Linked DNA regions of Macaca mulatta. The main gene of each other region encodes a partner of the protein of the gene in region 2 in a complex. Links are inferred from orthologs where the notes say so. Each region holds a gene or a part of one and is shown on either strand. Other genes may lie near its edges.

Region 1 (4,815 bases), on a different chromosome or scaffold from region 2:
TAATGTTTGTAGAATAAGAAAGACAGACATATACGGGAACAGAGATGAGGAGAGGATTGAAGCTATTGCAGAATATGGCCAGATCATAAAGAACCTTCTATCTGAGGCTAAAGAAATCATTCCTTAAAGAGTAGGAAATGGGGAAGCAAATGAAGTTTTCAAGCAAGAGGGTGAAAAATATCAAGTTTAAATTTTAGAAAGATTTCTCAAGAGGCAGTATAAAGACTGAACCAAAAGGAGACAGAAAACAGCCTGGGAGATCACTCAGGCAAAAACTTAAGGCAAAATCAGGGGCAACAGATAGAGAAGGGAAGAAATTTGAGATTCATTTCAGAAGTTGACAGGACTTGGTGATTAAGCTAATCCAACAGAGAAAAGGAAAAGTCAAAGATGCTTCCATGATTTCTAGTTTAGGAAATTAGTGATGACATCAATTGAGATAATGCAAGAATAGGTGAAGTGAGAAGATTAACAATTTCTGTGTTGAAGATAATGAAGTTTAAATACCTCTGGAGGCAGGGCAAGTTACCCAACAAGAAGTCAGACTATTTAAGTTTGAATTTGAAGAACAAGGTTGAGAATGGGAGCACATGAACACTATTACTCAGAAGAGAGAATTTTAAACCTGTGGACACAGTCTTACCCTCAATGCAATTTCACTCCATCTTGAGGCAACCATCAAGAGTTGACCAGTTCCATTTATTTTCATAGTCGTAAAAATTCCACAAAATTGTTAGTCTCTGTAAGTGATAACTTTAAAAAGTCAGAGCTTTTGTCTTGTTCTGAGTCATTTTTCCCCTTTCCTCTTTGTATGCCATTCTTTCTGTCAAACTATCTAGTTAAGGAAGCTATATGAGGTATAAGGAAGAATATTAAGAAAATTTTGTTATTCTTATTGTCTTAATTGTAAAGGCAAAGAAAAGAACATTCGACTATTCTACCTTTAGCAAAACCTAAGTTAAATAATGATTTACCTATGTGACTCTCCACTAATTTTCTCTTGCAAATCATCACCCCTTAATTAATGGACATCCCCAAGGCAGTCAACTCAAGCTGTAGCTTTAACCACAGAGGTTAAACAATTCAGTCCTGTTGTTGCTGTCAGAAATCCAAGTTACACTGTACCTTTGTCTAATCAATGGTGCCCTACTTTGGTGGGAGATGAAGGAAGGGACCTGTTGGCAAGGAAACAGCTGCTTCCTTCCTGAACAAGGGAAAACCAGTAAGGTGACAGATGGGCAGAGCAGAAAAGTAGCCAAAAATTGCTCTGGCTCCTGGTTGGCAATAATTTTTGGAACTGAGGCACAACTGAATATTTTAAAGTATATCAACAATTGAGAGAGAGTATTGTTTACCTGGGCGCGCCAAAGTTCAACAAGCCTTCCCACACATTTTCTACATTTGAAAAACTTTTACGTTTGCAGTAGTACAAAGAGCTTAGCCTTAGCCTATGTACAGTGGGCAAAGACTGCAAGGCACTGTCCCATTTCACTTTAGGATTGCACCCAAGCAAATGCACTTTCTGGTTAAAAAAAAAAAAAAAAAAAGGAAAATTTTTATTTTCTCTATAATATAGTTGTATGACTGACTAGAATTACTATTAAAATCTCATTAAAAATGTTTTCCTTAAAAGTTTACTTTTATATACTTAATTTGAAAGGATTTGTTGCAAACTTTTATAATTTGTTCTCTAATCATTCCCCCTCCCACCCACTTCGGTACCCAGAAAACTAAATATCCAAGAATTCCTGGGTAAAACAGACAACCACTAGATTGATATAACTAACGTATTTTTTTTTTAAGCTGTATAGTTCTTCATCAAATGGAAATCGGCAAACCACTGAAAATAACATTAAAAATTAGTGTGGGCATGAAGTATGGAATTTTAAACATCAGTTTACTATGCTGATTAAGTCAACATTTATATTTTCATCAGAACTTAATAATCCCATAAATAAATAGAGCTCTCAATTATTTAAAAAAATCAAGGGATAACATATGTATTTAGACATAGTAGCAGCGTAAAGATGTATGCTTCAACACACTTATTGGGGAAACGTCTGAAAATATTACTACACTGAATTCAAAGGTATCCGCAGGAACCTGACATAGAAGTTCTCTAGAATAACATCATTTCAGGAAATTTCAAAAAAGAAAAGGGGTCGAATAGGAAATAGCCTCAAATTAATTGACAAAGTTCAGTGTTTGCCCCAACTTGATTATTCTCTCTCTCCACTGCAAAAAGAAAGTCTCAGGATGAGTGAATCACTTAGACGAAAGTTCATCTAGTGGAATAAATGGAGAAGCCGCTTGGGCAGGTGACACAGGAGAGTCGGTGGTAGTGCTGACTTTCGCTGGTGAGTTACAAGAAGATCCGGCACTGCTGCTGTTTCCATCAAGGGTATCCGAAGATACACACACACCAGGATCTGACAGCTGTGCAACGTCAGAAGAAAGCATGTTGGTGATGCCCTGGAAAAATCTCTTTGGCTGATAATCAGTTTCCATTTCACATTTTCTTTTCAATGGTCCAAGAACACTTGGTCTAATGCAATTGATGGGGCTCTGGCTTCTCCGTGTGGTAAATCGGGTCGTTGGGCTGGGAATAGGGCTTGGAGGCAATCCGTTGCTACTTACAAAACTTTGCAAGGATGGCGAAAAACACTGCTTCCCAATTCCCCGAGTGGGTGACGGTGCCGGTGACACAGGAATGAAATCGATGCGCTTGGGGGAGGCGGATTTCTCCACGTCGTTGTCACTCAGGCTGAAACTTTCCTCCCAGGAGTGGCTTATCTGCATTGCGGTCTGCACCTCCCGTTCGTGGACCGTCTCTCGGTTGATCAAGTCCATACCCTCTTCTTGTTTGATCTGGTGCAAGCGGCTGCTGTGCATGCGGACAGGGGAGGCCGGTAGCAGCAGGCCGTGGCGGCTCGGGAACGTTGTGCTGTTCCGCCTGGCGCTCGGCGCCTCGGCCTGGAACACCGGCGAAGTGTCACTGAGGCCGTGGATCAGGGGGGCGCTGTTAGACCTCCTGAGGCCCCCGCCGCCGCCGCTGCCGCCGCCCTCCGCCGGGCTCCCGCCCGTACCCGGAGGCAGCTCCAGGTCTAGCTCCATCTTCTCCTGAGCCATGTCGGGGGCAGGGAGGCGGGGGAGGTGCTCAGTCAGGGACCTAGGATTCCCATTCCCCGCAGTCCAGGGCCGCCGCCGCTGCCGCCGCCACCGAGAATCTGTCAGCGGGCTGGCCCCTCTGCGCATGCGTACCCCTTCGCGCAGGCGCTCGCGATGTCCGTCCTCGAGGCGCCTGCTTTATGCGTAATATCTGCGCGGCAGTGGTAGGGGAGGGGCGAGGAGTAGTCGGGCCGCTAGTCCGTATATTCCTTCAGCAAATAGCTATTGAGCGCAAACTGGCATTGACGAACGTCAATAAGATTGTCATATTCTGGAGTACATATTTATAAAACGAACAAAGCCCTGAAAGAGAGGCCCATGGTGATGTGGGGCTGTATGACGGGGAGTGGCGCTTGCGAATCAGGGAGGGCTTCCTCGAGGAAGGAACAGTGTCCTGAAATCCGAAGAAGTGGGCGAAATGGGTGCGATGTAAAACTTCGCAGGAAGCGGGAAGCAAGGGCGACCCAGCCAGGTGGCAGGCGGGAACCAGGAGGGGAGGAGAAAGTGTGGCCTGGAGTGGAGAGTGAGGGCTGGCGTGACGTGAGGTGGTGGACCAGACCACATTCTGGTCTTTATCTTGAGAACAATGAAAACTTAAAGGGTTTTCAAGCATGGGTATAATAGCAACTGAAAAGCTCACTGGCCTGCAGTCTGGAGAACAAATACTGGGAGATTAAAACCTTACAGAAAAAAGGCCAGAGAGGATGGTAATTTGCACTAAGGTGACAGTGTGGAAGTGGAGATGGAGAGAAAAGTAAATGAGAACTGTTTAGGTTAGGGGAAAAAGCCAAAACCGGGGATGGTACTGATACTGATTTACAGTCATAGTTCCAGCACAAGCATATGTGTGAAGTATGAAGGATTAAAGGAAAACCAGTAGGTCCTCACATTTTAAAAATAAAAACACTATTCTTGGCTCATGTAATTAATATGAAACCTTGATAGCTCATTAAAAGTGAGTTTATTTGTTCATTTATTCAGTCAAGGTTTTTTTTTTTTTTTTCCAGCATACTTACTATGTGCCAAACACTGCTAGGAAATGGGCCCTAGTCTGAGAACTTTTAATTCTTACTGAGGGGAAAATACAGAAATAAACGCAGGCTATTTTCAGATAGTGGTAAAGCCTTAGGAAAAACAAGATGGTGTGATGGAGCACTACTGATAGAAGGCAGCGGACAATTAGAGCTGAGATCTAAATGACAAGCAGCAGCAAGTCACGTGGACATCTGGGGAATGAGTATTCCAAGCAGAGAGAATAGCAAGTGCTAAGGCCCGAGGCAGCCATGAGTTTGTTGAGTAAGCGGAAAAAGAAAGAAGGGCAGTGCTGCTGAAGCATAAGAGCGGCGAGTGTTAGCAGAGGGTAAGAGTTGGATCTCATTCTGAGTATGATGAAAAGCCACTGGAGGGTTTTAAGCAGGGGAATGATATTATCTGGTTTATGTTTTAAATATCACTTAGGCTCTGTGGAAAACAGGCTGAAAGAGGACCACAGTGGAGGCAGAAGGATGAATTCAGGGCCTATGGCAACAATACAGGTAAGATTCTTGGACTAGGGTTGTAGCAGTGTCAATGGGGAGAAGTAGAGAGACTGAGGCTATGTGTTGAGTTAGAACCAATAGGATTTGCAGATGGATTAAATTTAGATTG
Region 2 (4,152 bases):
TGGGAATGCAGCTTTATGTAAGACCCTGAAAACTTCTTATCAAGCAGTTAAGACACATCCTATTTATGAGTGTACTTTATATTGCCAATGCAAAGATTTTTATAAGATTAATTTTGGTTAATCAAACCTGGAAAGTTTGGTAGTCGTAGTTTTTATATAGACCCCATTACACTGGTGGAGGGGGGAGGTGCGGGACGCGGAGCGGAGGGTGGTGCTGGTACTATGCTTACAGAAAAAACTCACAGAGGCCGGGCGCGGTGGCTCACGCCTGTAATCCCAGCACTTTGGGAGGCCGAGGCGGGCGGATCACAAGGTCAGGAGATCGAGACCACGGTGAAACCCCGTCTCTACTAAAAATACAAAAAAAAAAATTAGCCGGGCGCGGTTGTGGGCGCCTGTAGTCCCAGCTACTCGGGAGGCTGAGGCAGGAGAATGGCGTGAACCCGGGAGGCAGAGCTTGCAGTGAGCCGAGATCGCGCCACTGCACTCCAGCCTGGGCAACAGAGCAAGACTCCGTCTCAAAAAAAAAAAAAAAAAAAAAAAAGAAAAGAAAAAACTCACAGAGAAAAATACACAAAATATAAAAGATATCACTCAGAATCAACAGATGTTGACATTTTTCTCTAAATTTCCTTCTAGTTTTTCAAATATAGTTAAAGTCCTACTCCTCCCATCCTTTTCCCATCATACCCAGACACAACAGTTCCTACGATTGTCATAATCTGCTCTATCCTTCCACATTGGACCCTATTATTAAGCACTATTTTTAGCATTAAAAAATGCAGCCCCCAGTTAGTTGTATTTTACTTAGTGTTAAGAAACAAAAGACAAAAATCTACAATGCATTCTCTAATGTCTTTAAATAAGATTTAATCCACACAAGTTGAAATGGGATTTGCTTCCAAATAACACCGAGGAGAAGAAGGAGGAGAAGGATTTGAGACACAAATTGACCGTGAACTGAGGAGCATCGGAAGTGGATGATGAGCATGCAGGGCTTCACTATACTATTCTCTTGACCTCAGCCTACATTTAAAAAGTCCTCTTTATAAAAAAGCTGACATAGCCCTGTAAGAAATAAACTGCCATGAAACATTCCAATATATAAAATGTTAACAACACACTTCCCTAGGAACATTTATTCTATAAGTAGAAATTATATAAATGGTTTAGTTATGTATCATCTGATGTCAAAGAACAAAATATTTGAAGCTATTTGAAATAACTTAGTTTACCATATAAATTAAAACTGACCCCAGACTAGAAGCTAGCACATGATAGGAGTAAACTGTTCCCTCCACCCATGCTGCTGAGTTACAGGCTTTAAATAGTTACTTCTGTTTATTGTTCTTCTAATAAGGACAAGAGAGGGGAATGCAGTTTATTGTGGAAAGAGAGAAGGCAGAGGGTACGAATCCCAATGGACTGGCTGGGGAGAGCTTTCATGATCAGAAAACTGGGCATCCAAGAGGCGGCCAACACTGATGGCATCAGACATTTGTGAACAGCATTTTTAAGAACTCATACTGTGGACCAAGGGCATCAATTAGATGGAGGAAGTGCTGAATTTCTTCCCCTATTTCATCCCCAAAGTCATTTAAGTTTATATTCTGCAAATGGTTATGGTCTAGGTGTTAAAATTTGCTTTTTAAATTAATAGTGAGGGAATGAGAAAATAGGAGGAGGTTTCCCCTCACCCTAGCACCAACCTCAAAAAAGTTTTAATCACACATTTTTATAGACTACAGCTACCAAGAAACTAAAGTATCTCCTCAGTCACTCTAATGATTCCCTTCAGACTCAAGACTCCAACGAAGTCCAAACAATTCATGGGAAAAGTTTTTTATAAGAACAAAGAAAAAGAACCCAACTTATCATAAAGGATTTCAAATTCTGGTAGAGTCATTACTAACTTTTAATCCTCACTTAACTTTTCTTGGGCCAGGCATGGTGGCTCACACCTGTAATCCCAGTACTTTGGGAGACTGAGGAGGGGGACAGACTGCTTGAGCCCAGGAGTTCAAGACCAGCCTGAGCAACATCGGGAGACCCAATCTCTACAAAAAATGTTTTAAAAAAATTAGCCTGGTGTGGTGGCATGCACCTGTGGGTCCCAGCTACTCAGGAGACTGAGGTGGGGAGATCGAGGTTGCAGTGAGCTGTGATTACACCACTGCACTCCAGCCTAGGCGACAGACATTGTCTCAAAAAACAACAAAAACCTCTCCCTGGGCAAGTAAAACAGTAGGAGAGGAATCTCCTTCCAGCGATGTGGATTGCTGGGAAGAAGGCAATATGCTAATAGGTAGTCAAGTAAGAAGAGTGCTCTGAATGGAGACCATCCTTTGAGTATTATTTTGTATCTGCAGTTAGAAATACTCTGTGTAGAGTTCAGGAACACTTAAAAAGGAGGAATAAATTAACATTTATTGAGCACTTGCACTCACGACATATGTGAAGAGTTACTTAATATTCATAATACTATAATAAAAAATTACTATCTCTACTTCGCTGCTGAGGAAAATTCAATTCAGTGTTAGTAACCTGCCCAAGATTAGGAGACTGAGAAATAGCAGAAATAGTACCTGACCTAAATCCAATGGTATAGCAGCCCATTCTTTTCGCTACAAATTGGGGGTGTAGTAAACAAAAAATTGCTATCTGAGAATCTTTCAGAGAATCTAAAAACTGCAAGTGAACAGTAAAAAAGTAGAGTTTATATTCTGTATAGAAAAAAAGTCCTTTTTAAAATTATCTCTGTTAAATGATTCCTCTCCTAGTCTACAGGATTATGTGCAACAAGTACACACAGTGGGCACATGGAAAGAAAATACATATACTTACCATTGGTAGACAATAAAAACTGAGCAGCATTTTTCTGGGGTAACCACCTAATTTTGTTGATCTTTTCTTCTATTTCTAAACTTTTCAAGTAGTCAAACTCTGGTTCATGGCTCTGGAAGGTGCTGTAAACATTATATTCTCCTCTGCTATGAGACTGGATTTTGTTCTAAAATGAAAACAAAAATATATGGACCATTGTTGAAAAATATTTCAAAATAATCAAATATGTAATCAATTCCAAAGGACCCTGCAAATTCTCGATAGCCCATTAGCTGTGTCTTTATACAATTATATTCTATTTTTTATATTTCTAAAGGCCTTCAAGGATTAAATGAGAAAACTTAAAGGGGAAAAAAGGCTAAATAACACTGAATAAATAAGCTCGATTCATTAGGGAAATAATGATGTTAAATATGGATCAACTGATTGCTTTGATGGTATAGAGGCATACCAATGAAAAAAACTGAGCACCCATAATAAGGGAGTTCATCTAAAGAGTAATGACTAAAGAAAGGCTTGCCCAGAAAGAGCTAGATGAGGCACACCTTCTTTCTCTGCCCACTTTAGGGTCAACTCCCCAATCTGTTACTTAATATGATGTACTGTCTCCTTTTCCTTTCTGATGCCTGCCTTTTGGTTATTTCGCTGCTGAAAGCTTAAAAAAAGGGCTCTTATAAATGAAGGGATCCCATTTGACCCCTGCCTCCCACCCCAAGACTGCTGTTCCAGACAGCTTTGTCACCAATCAAGTCCATATTCAGCACCACCCAGCAATAGCCCCATGCACCCCATCAACTACTACTTACTCGCCTTTAATATGCTTTCTCATCTTATGAACCTGGCACACACTGATGATTAATTTCATTTAGTATTACTTTGAAAGAACATAATTTAAGCTATCTCGTAAAGGGACTACTTATGAACTACTTTGGTTAGCATTAATATCTCAGCAAAAGTGAGAATTATAATATTCAGAATTTCATCTTTTAGCACACGATTAAAAACATTTTCATAAAAAAATTTAAAACTAGTTCAGAGAACCACCTATGGAAAAAGTTTAAATAAAAGAATGAGATTATTATTGTCAACTATTTTAAGTAAAAGTGAGTTATCCAGTGAAATGTTTACGACTTCTTAGCCTATTACTATTCTCCATATCAAAAGGAAACTTCACCGAATCATCTTGAAAGTCTACGTTTTGGGTTGTTTTTTCCAGCAGCCTGACGATCTGGGTTGTTCATTCATGGATGGTTGTATTTAAACCTTTGGACAGCAGTATCAGTTATTAGAGGGCAAGTCTGCCAGTGT
Region 3 (4,152 bases), on a different chromosome or scaffold from region 2:
TGCCTCAGCCTCCCAAGTAGCTGGGATTACAGGCATGTGCCACCACACCTGGCTAATTTTGTATTTTTAGTAGAGATGGGGTTTCTCCATGTTGGTCAGGCTAGTCTCAAACTCCTGACCTCAGGTGATCTGCCCGCCTTGGCCTCCCAAAGTCCTGGGATTACAGGCGTGAGCCACTGCATCTAGCCGGACTATTAGTATTTTTAAAAGGCACTTAAAATATTCCTTTCCAGTCCAACTCAAAATACATCTCTGTCAATTACATTTTGGATAAATATTTTAAAAAGCACATTTTTGTGCAATTTTTTTCTTATAATCCAGCAATATTTACCATCCATAGGGCTAAAAGGTTTGAAGGACAGAGCTCCAACTTTCTGCAGAACAATCTGAAAGTGCTTTTATCATAGAAGCAAGAACATTAATGATTTGCTCTTTCACTGACAACATCCTGTAGTCGTTTCAGTAAAACATCATCATTTTCTTGACAGACGCGTTTGGCAGGGGATTCTGCATCACTATCGATGGCTATTACTCGCTTCTTGGTTCTCTGCTCACCTTGCCTTATCATGTTGTTGATCTCTTTCAAACTCTGTGCAGAAATAGAGAACGTGTGTGAGTAAAAGAGGGAGAAGGGAAATGGCAGCAAACAACCAAGTGAATTGTTTTTTCCTGTGTTCTATCCTCTATCCAAATCTTCACACTGGGATAAGGATTCTTTTTAAAACTTAGAACAACCTCATAAGGGATGGCTTGAACTAATCTTTTCAGGTGGCTTAAAAATTAGATTTAAGGCCAGGTGTGGTGGCCTGTAATACCAGCATTTTGGGAGGCCAAGATGGTTCAATCACTTGAGCCCAGGAGTTTGAGATCAGCCTGGGCAACATGGCAAACCTGGTCTCTACAAAAAATACAAAAATTAGGCAGGTGTGGTGGCCTGTGCCTGTAGTCTCAGCTACTCGGGAGGCTAAGGAGCATCACCTGAGCCTGGGGAGGTTGCGGCTGCAGTAACCAGTGATCATGCCACTGTACTCCAGCTTGGGAAACAGAGTGAGACCCTGTCTCAAAAACAAAACCAAAACAACTGAATTCACTGTATAATAGTAGTTCTCGATGTGTAGTACCCAGACCAGAAGCAGAAGAAGCATCTATAATTTTTTTATTTTTTGAGACAGGTTCTCTCTCTGTTGCCTAGGCTGGAGTGCAGGGCATGATCTTGGCTCACTGCAAGCTTCGCCTCCTGGGCTCAAGCTATTCTCCTGCCTCAGCCTCCCTAGCTGGGACTACAGGCACATGCCACCATGCCTGGCTATTTTTTTGTATTTTTAGTAGAGACAGGATTTTGTCATGTTGGCCAGGCTGGTCTTGAACTCCCGGCCTCAAGTGATCCCCCAACCTTGGCCTCCCAAAGTGCTGGGATTACAGGGGTGAGCCACCATGCCTGGCCTTATCTGTTTTTTTTTTGTTTGTTTTTGAGACGAAGTCTTGTTCTTGTCGCCCAGGTTGGAGTGCAATGGCACGATCTCAGCTCACTGCAACCTCTGCCTACTGGGTTCAAGCGATTCTCCTGCCTCAGCCTCCTGAGTAGCTGGGATTATAGGTGCCCACCACCATGCCTGGCTAATTTTTGTATTTTTAGTAGAGACGGGGTTTCGCCATGTTGGCCAGGCTGGTCTTGAACTCCTGATCTCGTGATCTGCCTGCCTCGGCCTCCCAAAGTGCTGGGATTACAGGCGTGAGCCACTGCGACCAGCCCTAATCTGTTTTAACAAGCCCTCCCAATGATTTTAAAGCTCCCTACAGTTTGAGATCCTCTTCCTTAGAGTAATGCTTTTCAATTTTTTTTTTTTTTTTGAGACAGAGTCTTCTTCTGTCGCCCAGGCTGGAGTGAAAAAGGGGTGATCTCGGCTCACTGCAACCTCCGCCTCCTGGGCTCAAGCGATTCTCCTGCCTCAGCCTCCTGAGCAGAGTAGCTGAGATTACAGGTGCGGACCATCATGCCTGGCTAATTTTTTGTATTTTTAGTAGAGATGGGGTTTCGCCATGTTGCCCAGGCTGGTCTTGAACTCCTGAGATCAGGCAATCCGCCTGCCTTGGCCTCCCAAAGTGCTAGGATTATAGGCTTGAGCCACTGTGTCCAGTCAGGTATATTATCTTAGCCAACTTTGTCAAGTATAGTGAGAACTCTGTAGGCATCTGTATAACTTAATAGGAAAGTAATAAGAAGGAGCCAATGTATTTGGACTGAATTACAATATGCCCCACTACAATTTCTTCCAGTTTATACTGATTCTGACTTCTGGAGACATACTGAACAGATCTGCTTGACAGTCCATGAAGTATCTGAAAACAGCAATCATGTCCATATCACATCTTCACCACTCAACAAGGATAAGGATGGAGATGATCACAGAGTTGTCTATGTACATAAGAGGAGGCTTGTGTTTTCAGACGTCTTCCTATCTTGGGTGCCATCTACCAAATGCACTTTCACTTCCAATGCCTTTCTTTCAACTTGACATCCCCCAGGTCTGACCACTTGCAGATGTTGCTTTACTGGTCCCTTCTCAAGATCTTGCTTGAACAGGAAAACATGCTGGACTTTCAAAATGAACTCCACAAATACCATGTCAATAATAATGGATTAAACTACCTCAAACTGAATATACTGCTCTTGATGAGAGGAGACATGCCATAGTTAACATTTCATATTTTATTAGTATAGTAGAAACTTGGCCAAAAACAAAAAAAGAGGCAAGATTAACAGTTACTGACTGTTAATGTGAAATCCAGCTTTTAGCCTATTCACCTTACCTTAGAAGGGCTGCCATTGAACTTGTACAGCAGAGTGCTTCTTGGTGTAAGGCCTGACCCATTCTTGTGTGGGGAAATATAAATGGAGTGCTGTTGGGAAATGCGGCGTGGTGAGCCTGGCTGTTGTTTAATATGTGGAAAAGGAGAGAGTGGTGGAGCATCCATCTAAAATAACCCAAAAGTCAGATTTTTTAGATAAAAGTTTTTCTTTGTTTTTGAATCCCATATTTTTATTCTTTTTTTTTTTTTTTTTTTTTGTTTGAGACGGAGTCTAGCTCTGTCGCCCAGGCTGGAGTACAGTGATCGGATCTCGGCTCACTGCAAGCTCCGCCTCCCGGGTTTATGCCATTCTCCTGCCTCAGCCTCCCGAGTAGCTGGGACTACAGGCACCCACCACCTCGCCCGGCTAGGTTTTTTTTGTATTTTTTAGTAGAGACGGGGTTTCACCGTGTTAACCAGGATGGTCTCGATCTCCTGACCTTGTGATCCGCCCGTCTCGGCCTCCCAAAGTGCTGGGATTACAGGCTTGAGCCACCGCGCCCGGCCATTTTTATTCTTATGATATCTCCTAGTTAGGAATCAGTTATACTATAAAAGCTCATTTATGGTTGAGAAAAGCAAAAAAAAAAAAAGATCTGTTACTTCTTTTTTTTTTTTTTTACAACAACAACAGATAAAGTAGAATTTATTTTCTTGGATCTTTTTTTTTTTTTTGAGATGAAGTATCTCTCGCTCTTGTTGCCCAGGCTAGAGTAAGATGGTGCAATCTAGGCTCACTGCAACCTCTGCCTCCCAGGTTCAAGCGATTCTCCTGCCTCAACCTCCCAAGTAGCTGAGATTACAGGCATGTGCCACCACGCCCAGCTAATTTTGTATTTTTAATAGAGATGACCATCTTGGCCAGGCTGGTCTCCAACTCCTGACCTCAGGTGATCCACCCACCTCGGCCTCCCAAAGTGCTGGGATTATAGGTGTGAGCCACTATGCCCTGCCTATTTTCCTGGATCTTTCAGGAAGTCCTATAACTAGTATTAAGAATTCTGGCCGGGTGTGGTGGCTCACACTTGTAATCCCAGCACTTTGGGAGGCCGAGGTGGGTGGATCACCTGAGGTCAGGAGTTTGAGACCAGCGTGGCCAGCATGGTGACACTCTGTCTCCACTAAAAATGCAAAAATTAGCTGGGCGTGGTGGCACATGCCTGTAATCCGAGCTATTCGGGAGGCTGAGGCACTAGAATTGCTTGAACCCAGGAGGCAGAGGTGTTGCAGTAAGCCCAGATTGTGCCACTGCACTCCATCCTAGGTGACAGAGCAAGAATCTGCCTTCAAAAAAAAAAAAAA
Region 4 (4,865 bases), on a different chromosome or scaffold from region 2:
AGATATCTTTGATTCCAACTTTATAAGGTGTGATGGGGAATTGAAAGGAGATATTGGGGAAGACTGGCAGTGTGTGCTGAGTTTGAGTTGGGAATGTGGCTCAAATTAGTCAATATTGATTAGGTTATTGTTCTAGAAAATTTTAAATGTGTCCTAAATTGTGGCATATTGAAAACAATATTAAGGAACAATGGTTCATTAGCCCTAAACACAATTTAATGAGTGCCATCGATGGGCTTAAGAAATAAGCAGGGATGGGGGATGGCGAGGCAAAATGAGGTGAAAGAGAAAATGGAAAATATGCTTGAACATTGGAGAATGTGAAAAGGCCACCAAAGAAACTGCTTTAGGTATCACTCAGAAGTGCTCTTCCCATTGGCTACCTGCTCCTGATCACCCAAACACCAATTTTAGAGCACAGGAGCAGTAATACCCTTTATCTGCAATTTCACTTTCTGTAGTTACCCGAGGCAACCTTGGTCCAAAAATATGTGGAAAATTCCAGAAATAAACAATTCATGTATTAAATCACAAGCTGGCTGGGCACTGTGGCACACGCCTATAATCCCAGCACTTTGGGAGGCCAAGGCGGGTGGATCACCTGAGGTCAGGAGTTCGAGACCAGCCTGGCCAACATGGTGAAACCCCATCTCTGCTAAAAATACAAAAATTAGCTGGGCATGGTAGCAGGCGCCTGTAATCCCAGCTACTTGGGAGACTGAGGCAGGAGAATTGCTTGAACTCAGGAGGTGGAGGTTGCAGTGAGCTGAGATTGCACCACTGCACTCCAGCCTAGGCAACAGAGTGAGACTCCATCTCAGAAAAGAATAAAATAAATCACAAGTCATCCCGAGTGATGAAATCTCATGATCTCTTGCTCTGTCCTGCCTGCGATGTGAATCATCCCTTTGTCCTGCTTATCCACACTGTATACTACCTGCCCCTTAGTCGCTTAGTAGCCACCTTGGTTGTCAGATTGAAAAACATAGTCGATAAAGGGTTCAGTACTATCTGAGGTTTCAGGCATCCACTAGGGGTCTTGGAATGTATCTCTTGCAGATAAGGGGATACTACTGTATTACATTTCAGCTTCCATAAAACTTTAGTAATTTGGATTAAGAACACAAACCTGATTTAGTAAAAAGTATCCATAAATATTCAGAGGTATAGTTTTGTTTCATCAAGTAAAAAGAGCAACTAATTCCAACTGTTGAAGTAGTAACAAGTAAAGGCTTCACCAGGCTTTCCTAGATGGTTAAGACATATTTTTAGGTCATCAGCACAAGATTATTGAATAACTTGTATGCTACAAACATGCTGCTTCCACTCATCAAAACAACCCAATAATCCTTACTATTCCAATTTGCTGAGAACCATGTCAGATGTTGCGTTCAAGAATGAAATGTTCCTCAAAACTGTTCTATCAAATGTAGTAGCTATTGGACATAAAACAAGTAATTTATTTCAGACTTGAGTTTTCATGAAGTATTTATCATCAACTTCAGTTTATTCCAACATTAATTTATGATAGGACAGTTATTAAGATTAGCCATTTCTCAGACTGTAACTTTGAAATAATAAGAAATGGACAATTAAGCTCACTAGTCAAAATCTTGATTGAAGTGGTGACACAATAGCTTACAAATGTCTTCAATAAACTGAGCTTTGAGGCAGAACAAAAAAACAGAAAAATCTAAAACCTCTCTATCCCAAGCACCAATAATGGAGGCTAAGCAATTATATCTACAAATCCGTAACGACAGGTCTCTCCTAATGAAAAGTCCTGAGATTTAAGCACTGTGACTTACAGAAGGCAGGTTGGCTTAATGAGGAAATTTACTTTTAATAAAAAGACAATCAGCAATATTTTATTTTGGGCACTTAGCATTTCACAGATCCTCAATACGTTTTGAGGTAGGTCAAATATTAATAGTGTATTTTACAAACAAAACTCAAGCAGTTGTTTTGTTACTTGTCCCGAACCACAGGAGCAGTTCTATCATGGTCAGGAATAACACGGTCTATCTGATCTTTCAGATTAGTCTTTCATGTGTGAATTTAATGGTAATTACTCGCAAATATTCATGAAAAAACCAAAAGACTAGATATAGAAATTCTACTCTGGGATATTTTAAACTTCTTAAATTGATCCTATAATGAGTATATACTTGCTCTCGTTACAAATATATATATAGCTGATCTTTACAATTACAAATGAGCACAGGAGTGACTGTGTTGCTTTTCTGCCTTTTGGGGTGAAGATAATCAGCAAGGAAGATAATCAGCAAGCTTTCCTCAGAGCACTAGGCAGCCTTTAACCGAAGGTGCTATGTTCGAGGCACCATTGAGTATGATTTGAGATCACAGGAGAGCAGGTATACTGATGGAACCAGGATTCAGAAAAGATGCCTGGATCCAAAAAGGGGAGGCTCTCTGCAAGTCGAAGACGAAGAGAAAAACAGTAACATCTCAAGCTGCTGATCCTGAGTATCATGCTACAGCATTACAACTACTTGTGAGAGGAGCTCCTACAAGAGCAGTAAACTTGTCCCAATAAAGTCTGTTAAGGTCTTACTAACTAGATAAGCCACAAGTAAAACTAAATTGGTATTTTACTAAAGTGACATCTACAGAAGCAAATATCTAAACATTTTTAATAGGAGTTTTACCTGTCATGTAAATTACTCTCATTGTCAAAAGCCTAATTCAATTAGCTTGTCATAATTCCTAAAATAATTTACCAAAATTCAGCTCATTTTGACATAGGTTCTTGAGCCAGTATTCCGAACTGTTTCATTATGAAGTTCCTTTTATTTAAACAATTGTAGAATATTAGTAATAATACAGGATCAAGAATAGTTAACTTGAGCCTAGGAGTAAGGTTGCAGTGAGCTATGATTGCAGTACTGCACTAGAGCTGAGGTGACACAGCAAGACCCTATCTTAAAAAAAAAAAAAAAGAGAGAGAGAGGTTAACAACTGAGAAATTAGAAGGAAAATGCCATTATTGTGTTACATAAAAGAGTAAGGATATAGACACCTATGCTTCCATATACAACAAACAGCTCAATACCATTTGAGTCAAAGAACAAAGGGGGAAAAACAGGTAGCAGGGGGCATGGAATGCAGAGTACTGAAGCCTTTTACTCTAGTGTCTCCAAAATTGAGTGCGGAAGTAAAAAGTTTCTACATTTAAAAAGTTCATATAAATTACATGAATTGCAACTTTCATAAAAATCAAAATGAAAGGTTCTGCATAGGACAAAAGATATGCCTAAGCAACATATCGTATTTGCACAAGGCCACTGAATGTCATGGATATTAGTAACAAATGAAAAGCTTAAGTCTATGGCAGATTGAACTAAGATTTCAGTTTGGTATTCTATAAGCCCGAGATTGTAAACTACTCATTATACAAAAGCTATGATGATTTACAGAGTTTTGTGTAGGAACTCTTGTGCTTCTGGTTGGCACATTATCTACTTTTTAAGTATGTGAAATTAATACAGACATTTGTGAGAGGTTGTGCAAAACTACTGTATTTACAAAAATGGCACAAAAGTGAATTCAACAGTCAATGCACATGCATACTTCATTCACATCTTCAACAACAAAAGGTATTCTAACTCTACAGAAATGAATTATTAGCTTCAATGGCAGCTGTTAAGCACTAGAGTCACATAAGTTACACCAGAATGGGCAAATATTGCCCAAGTAAAATTCTACTGTTAAAGCTGAAACAGGTTTAAGGCCATTCAAGTTCAAGCACAGAGATACAAATCTTTCAGAGCCCCATCTAGTTGTGTTTGAAATATGTGACCTTTCTTCTAACTTGTGGTCTTAAACTTCTGTTTTACAAAATCCAAAAGGTAAATACGGAAGAAATCAATACAATAGAGATTATATTAAATAAGAGTAACATACAAAGCTATAATTAAGATGAAGTAATGAAAGCCAAAACATTAAAATTTTAAAACTTGCTTGTTACTTGTTAGAACCAGTACTACACTAGGAGTTAGGTAATATATACAATTTTTTTCAAGTAGTTTACTTATGTTGCTCTAACATGTCCTCTTCACCAGTGCACTGTTAAACTAATCAAAAACTCTACACATGTATATTCTACAATAGCAGCACACACTACTGCTACCTGCAAAGCTGTCAGTCTCAAATGACTTAGTGAATGAAAGGAAATAAAAAGTAGATAAGTAACATATTAAGGAGAAATAATGGGAATTAGCAGATTCATGCAGTTCAGCCTTTTAATCAGCCAGCCAGCTTGCTAGCAACAAGGGATGGTTTCCGTTGAGGAAGGTCCTGTGGAGTGGGAATGTGGTCACCAGTGACCTCCGTCTTATCTGGAGCTGCAGCAGGAAGTTGCTTGTTCTTCATTTTTGCTTTAGCCATGTTGTAATCCCCAGAATCAAAATATTTTTGCTATAAGTAAAAAACAAAGAACAATTCAGATTAGAGCTTAGCAATTACTGATTTAAGATGTCGATGCAACCCCATACTGTCAGTATAAGGTTGGTCTAAAAAAATTTAAACAGGAATATTAATTAGACGAAATAGTCTCTGTACTGAGTTCCAGCATAAGGTCAACAGCTGAGAAGCCCCCCTTCAGACCAGGCACAGTGGCTCATTCTTGAAATCCCAACACTTTGGGAGGCCAAGGCAGGCGAACCACTTGAGGTCAGGAGTTCCAGGCCAGCCTGGCCAATATGGAAAAACCCCATTTCTACTAAAAAAAAAAAAAACAAAAAAAACCCCACAAAAATTAGCTGGGTGTGGTGGCGCACACCTGTAATTCCAGCTACTCCAGAGGTTGAGGCATGAGAGTCACATGAACCTGGGAGGTGGAGGCT
Region 5 (4,704 bases), on a different chromosome or scaffold from region 2:
CAGCTAAAACAGAATTTCATATAATTGGGAGTTAAGGCCAAGACACCATTCGTATGCCTCTTATACTCGAAGGCTATGACCTTTAAACCTTTGTCTCTTTCTTCAATCTCTCCCATCTTTTAAACACCCTACATACTCATAAGTTGTTAGAAACCAGCACCACCTTTTAAAGTCCTGGCAACTGTACTGTATTTTAAACACCATTCCCTAATTGATTTGCTTCTGAAATAGATTATTGAATACCTTTCAAACACTGAACATGAAGAGACAAACAGCTCTTAATGGCAGTGATTTTAGTAAAATCGATGCATGTTTTGGCTATCATCATCTAAGTGTCTACCATGACCAAACACTGATGTCACCATTTGAGTAACAAAACAAATCAGGAAGTTTTGCTAAATGAGAATTAAAGTTGCCCAGCCCTCCTTCCTTATCTGGTTTGATGCAAGCAATTTCCCTCTCACCAATACATTTACTTTCTAGATATAAGAGAAAAATGGAAAATTTACATCCTGACATCCACTGTAATGCAGAGGTGGACCTGACAATTTGGACAAGTCAGTCTCTTTCATCTTCCTATGTCAGTTCGAATGGGCTTTTAAGGTAAACTATCTAAACTTTTTTTTTTTCAATTACAAAGCTAAAAGATGACCCATATTAACAGCTTAACAGGAAACAAAGTTTTGCTGAAAAACATTTTTGCAGATAAGCAGGGCTTCAAAAGCTGATGGTTAAATTACTTAATAATATATACCCACATATTGGGTGACAAATTGGTCTAAACCGACCTTAGAAAAGCCAGTTGTAGCGGTAGGTTTCAAGAACCTGGCAGGTCGCTGATATTAGTATCTAATAGCATTCCTCTGATCTAGGAGGAAAAATTAAACGTGTCTCTCTTGATACTTAGTGGAGTCAGTAAACAATGTTCTCAGTCTGCGAATGACTGATATTAAGAACCACACCTTCAATTTTCTAGCCCAGGCCCTGGTTTCCCTCCTCCCACTTCCCTCCCAACCCAGGCAGGTTATTGCAGACAAGCAGGCAGTTACGTTGCTTCAAAATATTTAATACGTGTTAGACACGTAGAAGTTACATTTTTATACAAAAATCAATACAACGAAGGAGAAAATACTGTACAAAAACCTTATCAGCTCCCCCAACCTTTATATAACAAAGACTGGAGTCACCATATCTACAAAACCATAAGGTCTTTCCACTTCGGGCTTCTGTCTGTAAACTTTCATTAAACACTTTTTAAAAGCACTGTGTAGTAGTTCTGACCTAGAGCTTTTAAAAATATATCTTTTCTCTATAAACTCCATTATTTCCAAGCTTGAACTCTTCTGTGAAGTTCAAGCTTTTTCTCCCCTGCGGGGAAGCAAAGGACGGTTAATATGCCCCTTTCCTAGAGTAATCACAGGATATAAACGTTTCTTCATTGGGAGAGAAAGGTGGGGAGGGACAGAAGGAATCCAAGTCTGTGCTGCTGCCTAAATCCCTCTCGTCTTAGGAAATCCTGTGCGGAAACGCCACTCCTGGCCCTGAAGCGGGTCTAGCTTTCCGGTGAGGGGTGGGTGTAAAGTCCCTCCCTCCCCGGAGAACGAATGGGGAACTCCCCGGCCCAAACCTTTTAGCCGCTTCCTTCTCCACGCAGCCGGCAGAGGAAAGTCCCTGTCTGCCCCCAATCTCTTAAGCCCTGGGGAAGGAGTGGTGCATTCCAGAACAAAATAGTCTTAATGCCACAAGACAAACTTACATACACAGACATACACAAACACAAAAAGTTAAAGATCGTCCTCTTCCAATGAGCCTCAAGCTCCCAGGTCTCCAGAAAAGCCAGATGCGCCCGGGGGCAGTTTGCGATGCCCAGCGGCAACCAGTCTGCCCAACGCGCTCAGCGGCCGCGGTCTCTGGGCGTCCTCGCAGCCAGCAAGGGCCCGACCCTCACTTCGAGGACGCCCGCTGCTCAACCTCCTCCCCGCATGGGGGCCAAGGGCTCAGAAGGCCACGATGGCTGTGCTCCAGGGGTTCATGTCTCTCAGCACCGGCTTATCGCAGCAGATCTGCCCGGGCTCGGCGGCTTCCGGGCCGCTCTCCTCTCCCTCCTCTTCCTCCCTGCCGCCCCCGGGGCTTTTCCGTAGGAGTCCCGAGAAACTGGAACCGAAGATGCTGATGAGGTTAGCCACGTTCCCGGTCTCCATCTCCTCCGCGTCGTCGTCCTCTCCTCCACTCGGCGGCTGCTCTAAGTTCCGGCGGGGCTTCTTGAGCGGGGTCGAGCCGGGCGCCGGGCAGCCCGCTGGGCCGCCGCCCACCCCCGCCGCGCCGCGCTTCCTGGGGCACACTGCGGGCTGCGCGGGGGGCTCGTCCTCGGCTGGTCGCGGCGCGCAGCAGCAGGCAGTGCGGGGGGTCGCGGCCGGTGTACCCGGCGGGTCCTCCCCGCCTAGGGGGCAGCCGCAGGGGCGGCGCGCGGCAAGCGATCCCTCGGGGAAGACGCCCCAGCCTCCGGCGGGACCCTCGGCTTCTCCGGCCGCCGCCTGGCGCGGCCGCTCCACGCGGCTCCAGGCAGCTTCCGTCGCGTCCGCCTCTCCGCCCTGAAGAACGTCCCCGACTCCGGTCACCGTGGTCACTGGCACCTCGTCCCCTACCCGCGGCGCGTGTGAGACGGAAGGGCGCTCCGGTTGCGGCTCGGTCTCCGGCCAAGAGGCACGGGCGACGGGCGGGGGCGGCTCTCCCCAGCCGGCGGGTGGCCCGGCCGCCGGCTCCCCGGGCTGCTGCTGCGGTGGCGGCGCCGGGATCCCAGCGGGACCGGCCAGGTAGAGGCCGGGGCACGGGTCGCTCAGGTAGACCTGGCGGGCGCTGCGCAGCACCAGCGAGACCAGGAGGTTCTTATGCAGCTTGATGCCGCCGCGCTGGACCCGCGAGTTGTAGATCTTGCCCAGGGAGATGCTGACGATTCGGTGAGCCTCCAGCTTGAACTCCATCCTGCCTCCCCTGCACAGGGCCGTCGGCGCCGGGGTGTTACGTTCGGAAACTGGGAGGGAACGGGAGGCGCAAACAAGTCCGCCCCGTGGGCACACCCTTGATCACCTAAGACTCCGAAGAGAAATGACTCCGGTGACGCGCGCTCACTGCCCCGCAGACCTCTCTACACCAGACAACTACCCCGTTTCGGGTCCGGTAGCTAAACAGGGCAGCCCGGCCGCCCCGCGCCTTATATAGACTCCTCGACCGCCAATCACGAAGGGCCGCCAACCGTTCCGCGGCTGGCCGGCGCGCCCTCGTGCGCCGCGCACGGCCAATCGGAGCCCGAGGAGGGGCGCCAAGGCCCGTTCGAACGTTAGTCCCGCGGAGCAAGCTCTTAAAGGGGGCGACGGATTGCGGGCGCAGACCAGGCCGATGGGGAGTGAGTGTTGGGGACCGTGTTGGGGACCGTGCTCGAGGGCGCTACTGTTTGGAGTTACAGATTCTGGCTTGTGCGATGGCTTGCCGGAACCAAAGCGAACAAAATATTCGAACTTTCTTCCGAGCACGGTGTTGGACTCTGTTCTGCCATAAAGTCCTGATCTTTTCCTGATCAACTCCGCCCTAACCGGCCACGCCACCATTTCCAGGCCCGCCACACCTGTAAGCGATTCCCCTCAACCCTGGCAAAAATAGAGATGGTGGCTATACGCGGCGGAGGACACCCCTGGATAACAAATAGTATTACTGCAAAGTATTTGGCTGTCATTATTTTTGGATGAGCCGCTTTCCCCGCTAGAGTCACATACACTCTTAGCAGCTGTCAGTTCTAACACCAAAGAAAAAGGGGATTCTAAAAGTTTTTGGCTAGGTTCTTGGCTTCTTATCAAGGAATTGTGTCTAGATACAAAGTTACTGGTTGCCCTCTAAAGCCGGCATCTTTCACTTTGTTCTCTAGATTCTGGAACAAAGCCAGTTATCAAATAGGTTAAATGGAAGATGTTACAGGTTCTCCACAATGATTTTTTTCCCATTTCCATTTTTCCATTACAAGGACTGATCAGTCAACCCTTGGAAAAATCGAGCAAGGTCTGAAAATAAAAAGAAAGAAGTCCTGTGTTCCCATGATGATGTCATAATTTCATTTTGTGTCAAGGTAAAAATATAGCGCTAGGGAGTTCCAGAATTTTCTGGTCAGTCAACAATGTAGTCCATCTACTGGTCCTTATATCAGGGCACAATTACCACAGGGTTGCCCAGGGTCCTGGACTGGAAACATGGAGTCACTTCCAGTTAGTTCCACCGAAGCTCCACCACAGACCTGCCTGAGGACTCTGGGTAAATAACCTCAGACCGCTTCAGTGTCTCCACCGCTGAAAAGGGGAAGTCACATACACATCTGCTTTATTGTACAGACGATAAATGACAACTTCTCAGCCACAAACTGAATGAGAAAACTAAGCACTGCTTTCTTGGAGTCCATGTGGAACCCTGGGCCTGATCCTGCCCCAGGGATTGGCCAAGCAATGAATTTATTTAGGAAAAATACCAGTGAAGGGTGGGCTTGATCATGACCAATTGACAATCTCCAGAAGATGTGATGGCTCAGTAGCATTACCTGTGCCCACAACTGATGGTAACTGAGACTGCAGGCTCTGAGACCCAGTTCCTCCCCCCTCTAGGAATTTTCAGCCCATGCAGAGAAAGAGATAAAATAATGACACAAAAATTACAAAACCAAGT

Evidence for each region.
Region 1: the proteins of PPP2R2A (region 2) and PABIR1 are in contact, whole or in part, in a cryo-EM structure (PDB 8SO0), measured with the Homo sapiens proteins. The link is inferred for Macaca mulatta from reciprocal best matches to the Homo sapiens genes PPP2R2A and PABIR1. Residues at the interface, in NP_002708.1 of Homo sapiens: Phe84, Leu87, Lys88, Ser89, Leu90, Tyr178, His179, Asp197, Met222, Glu223, Leu225, Thr226, Glu227, Val228, Tyr337, Asp340, Phe343; in NP_612206.5 of Homo sapiens: His81, Ser82, Ser83, Arg84, Leu85, Ile88, Lys89, Glu92, Arg99, Glu100, His103.
Region 3: the proteins of PPP2R2A (region 2) and RBL1 are in contact, whole or in part, in a cryo-EM structure (PDB 9C6B), measured with the Homo sapiens proteins. The link is inferred for Macaca mulatta from reciprocal best matches to the Homo sapiens genes PPP2R2A and RBL1. Residues at the interface, in NP_002708.1 of Homo sapiens: Lys88, Tyr178, His179, Asp197, Leu198, Met222, Glu223, Glu224, Leu225, Thr226, Glu227, Val228, Ser247, Arg278, Ser279, Phe280, Phe281, Ser282, Glu283, Ile284, Ser287, Tyr337, Phe343; in NP_002886.2 of Homo sapiens: Ser615, Pro616, Leu617, Met618, His619, Pro620, Arg621, Val622, Val625, Arg626, Ser629, Leu632.
Region 4: the proteins of PPP2R2A (region 2) and ARPP19 are in contact, whole or in part, in a cryo-EM structure (PDB 8TTB), measured with the Homo sapiens proteins. The link is inferred for Macaca mulatta from reciprocal best matches to the Homo sapiens genes PPP2R2A and ARPP19. Residues at the interface, in NP_002708.1 of Homo sapiens: Lys18, Gly19, Ala20, Asp23, Asp24, Asp29, Ile31, Thr45, Asp47, Gly49, Arg51, Val53, Phe55, Val73, Thr76, Gln78, Glu81, Pro82, Glu83, Phe84, Leu87, Lys88, Ser89, Glu91, Glu93, Tyr178, His179, Asp197, Leu198, Asn221; in NP_001293124.1 of Homo sapiens: Lys42, Pro43, Gly44, Ser46, Phe48, Leu49, Arg50, Arg52, Leu53, Lys55, Lys58, Tyr59, Phe60, Asp61, Lys75, Pro93, Asp97, Leu98, Pro99, Pro103, Leu105, Val106, Ala107, Ser108, Lys109, Leu110, Ala111.
Region 5: the proteins of PPP2R2A (region 2) and IER5 are in contact, whole or in part, in a cryo-EM structure (PDB 8UO5), measured with the Homo sapiens proteins. The link is inferred for Macaca mulatta from reciprocal best matches to the Homo sapiens genes PPP2R2A and IER5. Residues at the interface, in NP_002708.1 of Homo sapiens: Glu91, Ile92, Glu93, Glu94, Asp116, Tyr178, His179, Asp197, Leu198, Met222, Leu225, Thr226, Glu227, Val228, Thr230, Ser247, Phe280, Phe281, Glu283, Ile284, Ser287, Cys334, Tyr337, Glu338, Asn339, Asp340, Phe343, Lys345; in NP_057629.2 of Homo sapiens: Ala7, Arg9, Ile10, Ile13, Ser14, Lys17, Arg25, Gly26, Lys29, Leu30, His31, Lys32, Leu34, Leu35, Val36, Leu38, Val39, Leu40, Arg41.

Annotation. Positions count from the first base shown.
Region 1 is NC_133420.1:99,819,085-99,823,899, reverse strand, and holds the start of PABIR1 (PPP2R1A-PPP2R2A-interacting phosphatase regulator 1), read right to left. Parts: upstream 3,260-4,815; 5' UTR 3,256-3,259; coding exon 2,266-3,255; 3' UTR 1-2,265. UniProt on the Homo sapiens protein: Acts as an inhibitor of serine/threonine-protein phosphatase 2A (PP2A) activity. Inhibits PP2A activity by blocking the substrate binding site on PPP2R2A and the active site of PPP2CA.
Region 2 is NC_133413.1:28,096,370-28,100,521, reverse strand, and holds part of PPP2R2A (serine/threonine-protein phosphatase 2A 55 kDa regulatory subunit B alpha isoform), read right to left. Parts: intron 3,011-4,152; coding exon 2,845-3,010; intron 1-2,844. UniProt on the Homo sapiens protein: Substrate-recognition subunit of protein phosphatase 2A (PP2A) that plays a key role in cell cycle by controlling mitosis entry and exit. Involved in chromosome clustering during late mitosis by mediating dephosphorylation of MKI67.
Region 3 is NC_133415.1:89,864,831-89,868,982, forward strand, and holds part of RBL1 (retinoblastoma-like protein 1), read right to left. Parts: intron 2,977-4,152; coding exon 2,812-2,976; intron 590-2,811; coding exon 419-589; 3' UTR 1-418. UniProt on the Homo sapiens protein: Key regulator of entry into cell division. Directly involved in heterochromatin formation by maintaining overall chromatin structure and, in particular, that of constitutive heterochromatin by stabilizing histone methylation.
Region 4 is NC_133412.1:29,846,954-29,851,818, forward strand, and holds the end of ARPP19 (cAMP-regulated phosphoprotein 19), read right to left. Parts: intron 4,438-4,865; coding exon 4,267-4,437; 3' UTR 776-4,266; downstream 1-775. UniProt on the Homo sapiens protein: Protein phosphatase inhibitor that specifically inhibits protein phosphatase 2A (PP2A) during mitosis. Inhibition of PP2A is enhanced when ARPP19 is phosphorylated.
Region 5 is NC_133406.1:38,498,158-38,502,861, reverse strand, and holds IER5 (immediate early response gene 5 protein), read right to left. Parts: upstream 3,188-4,704; 5' UTR 2,982-3,187; coding exon 1,998-2,981; 3' UTR 1,049-1,997; downstream 1-1,048. UniProt on the Homo sapiens protein: Plays a role as a transcription factor. Mediates positive transcriptional regulation of several chaperone genes during the heat shock response in a HSF1-dependent manner. Mediates negative transcriptional regulation of CDC25B expression.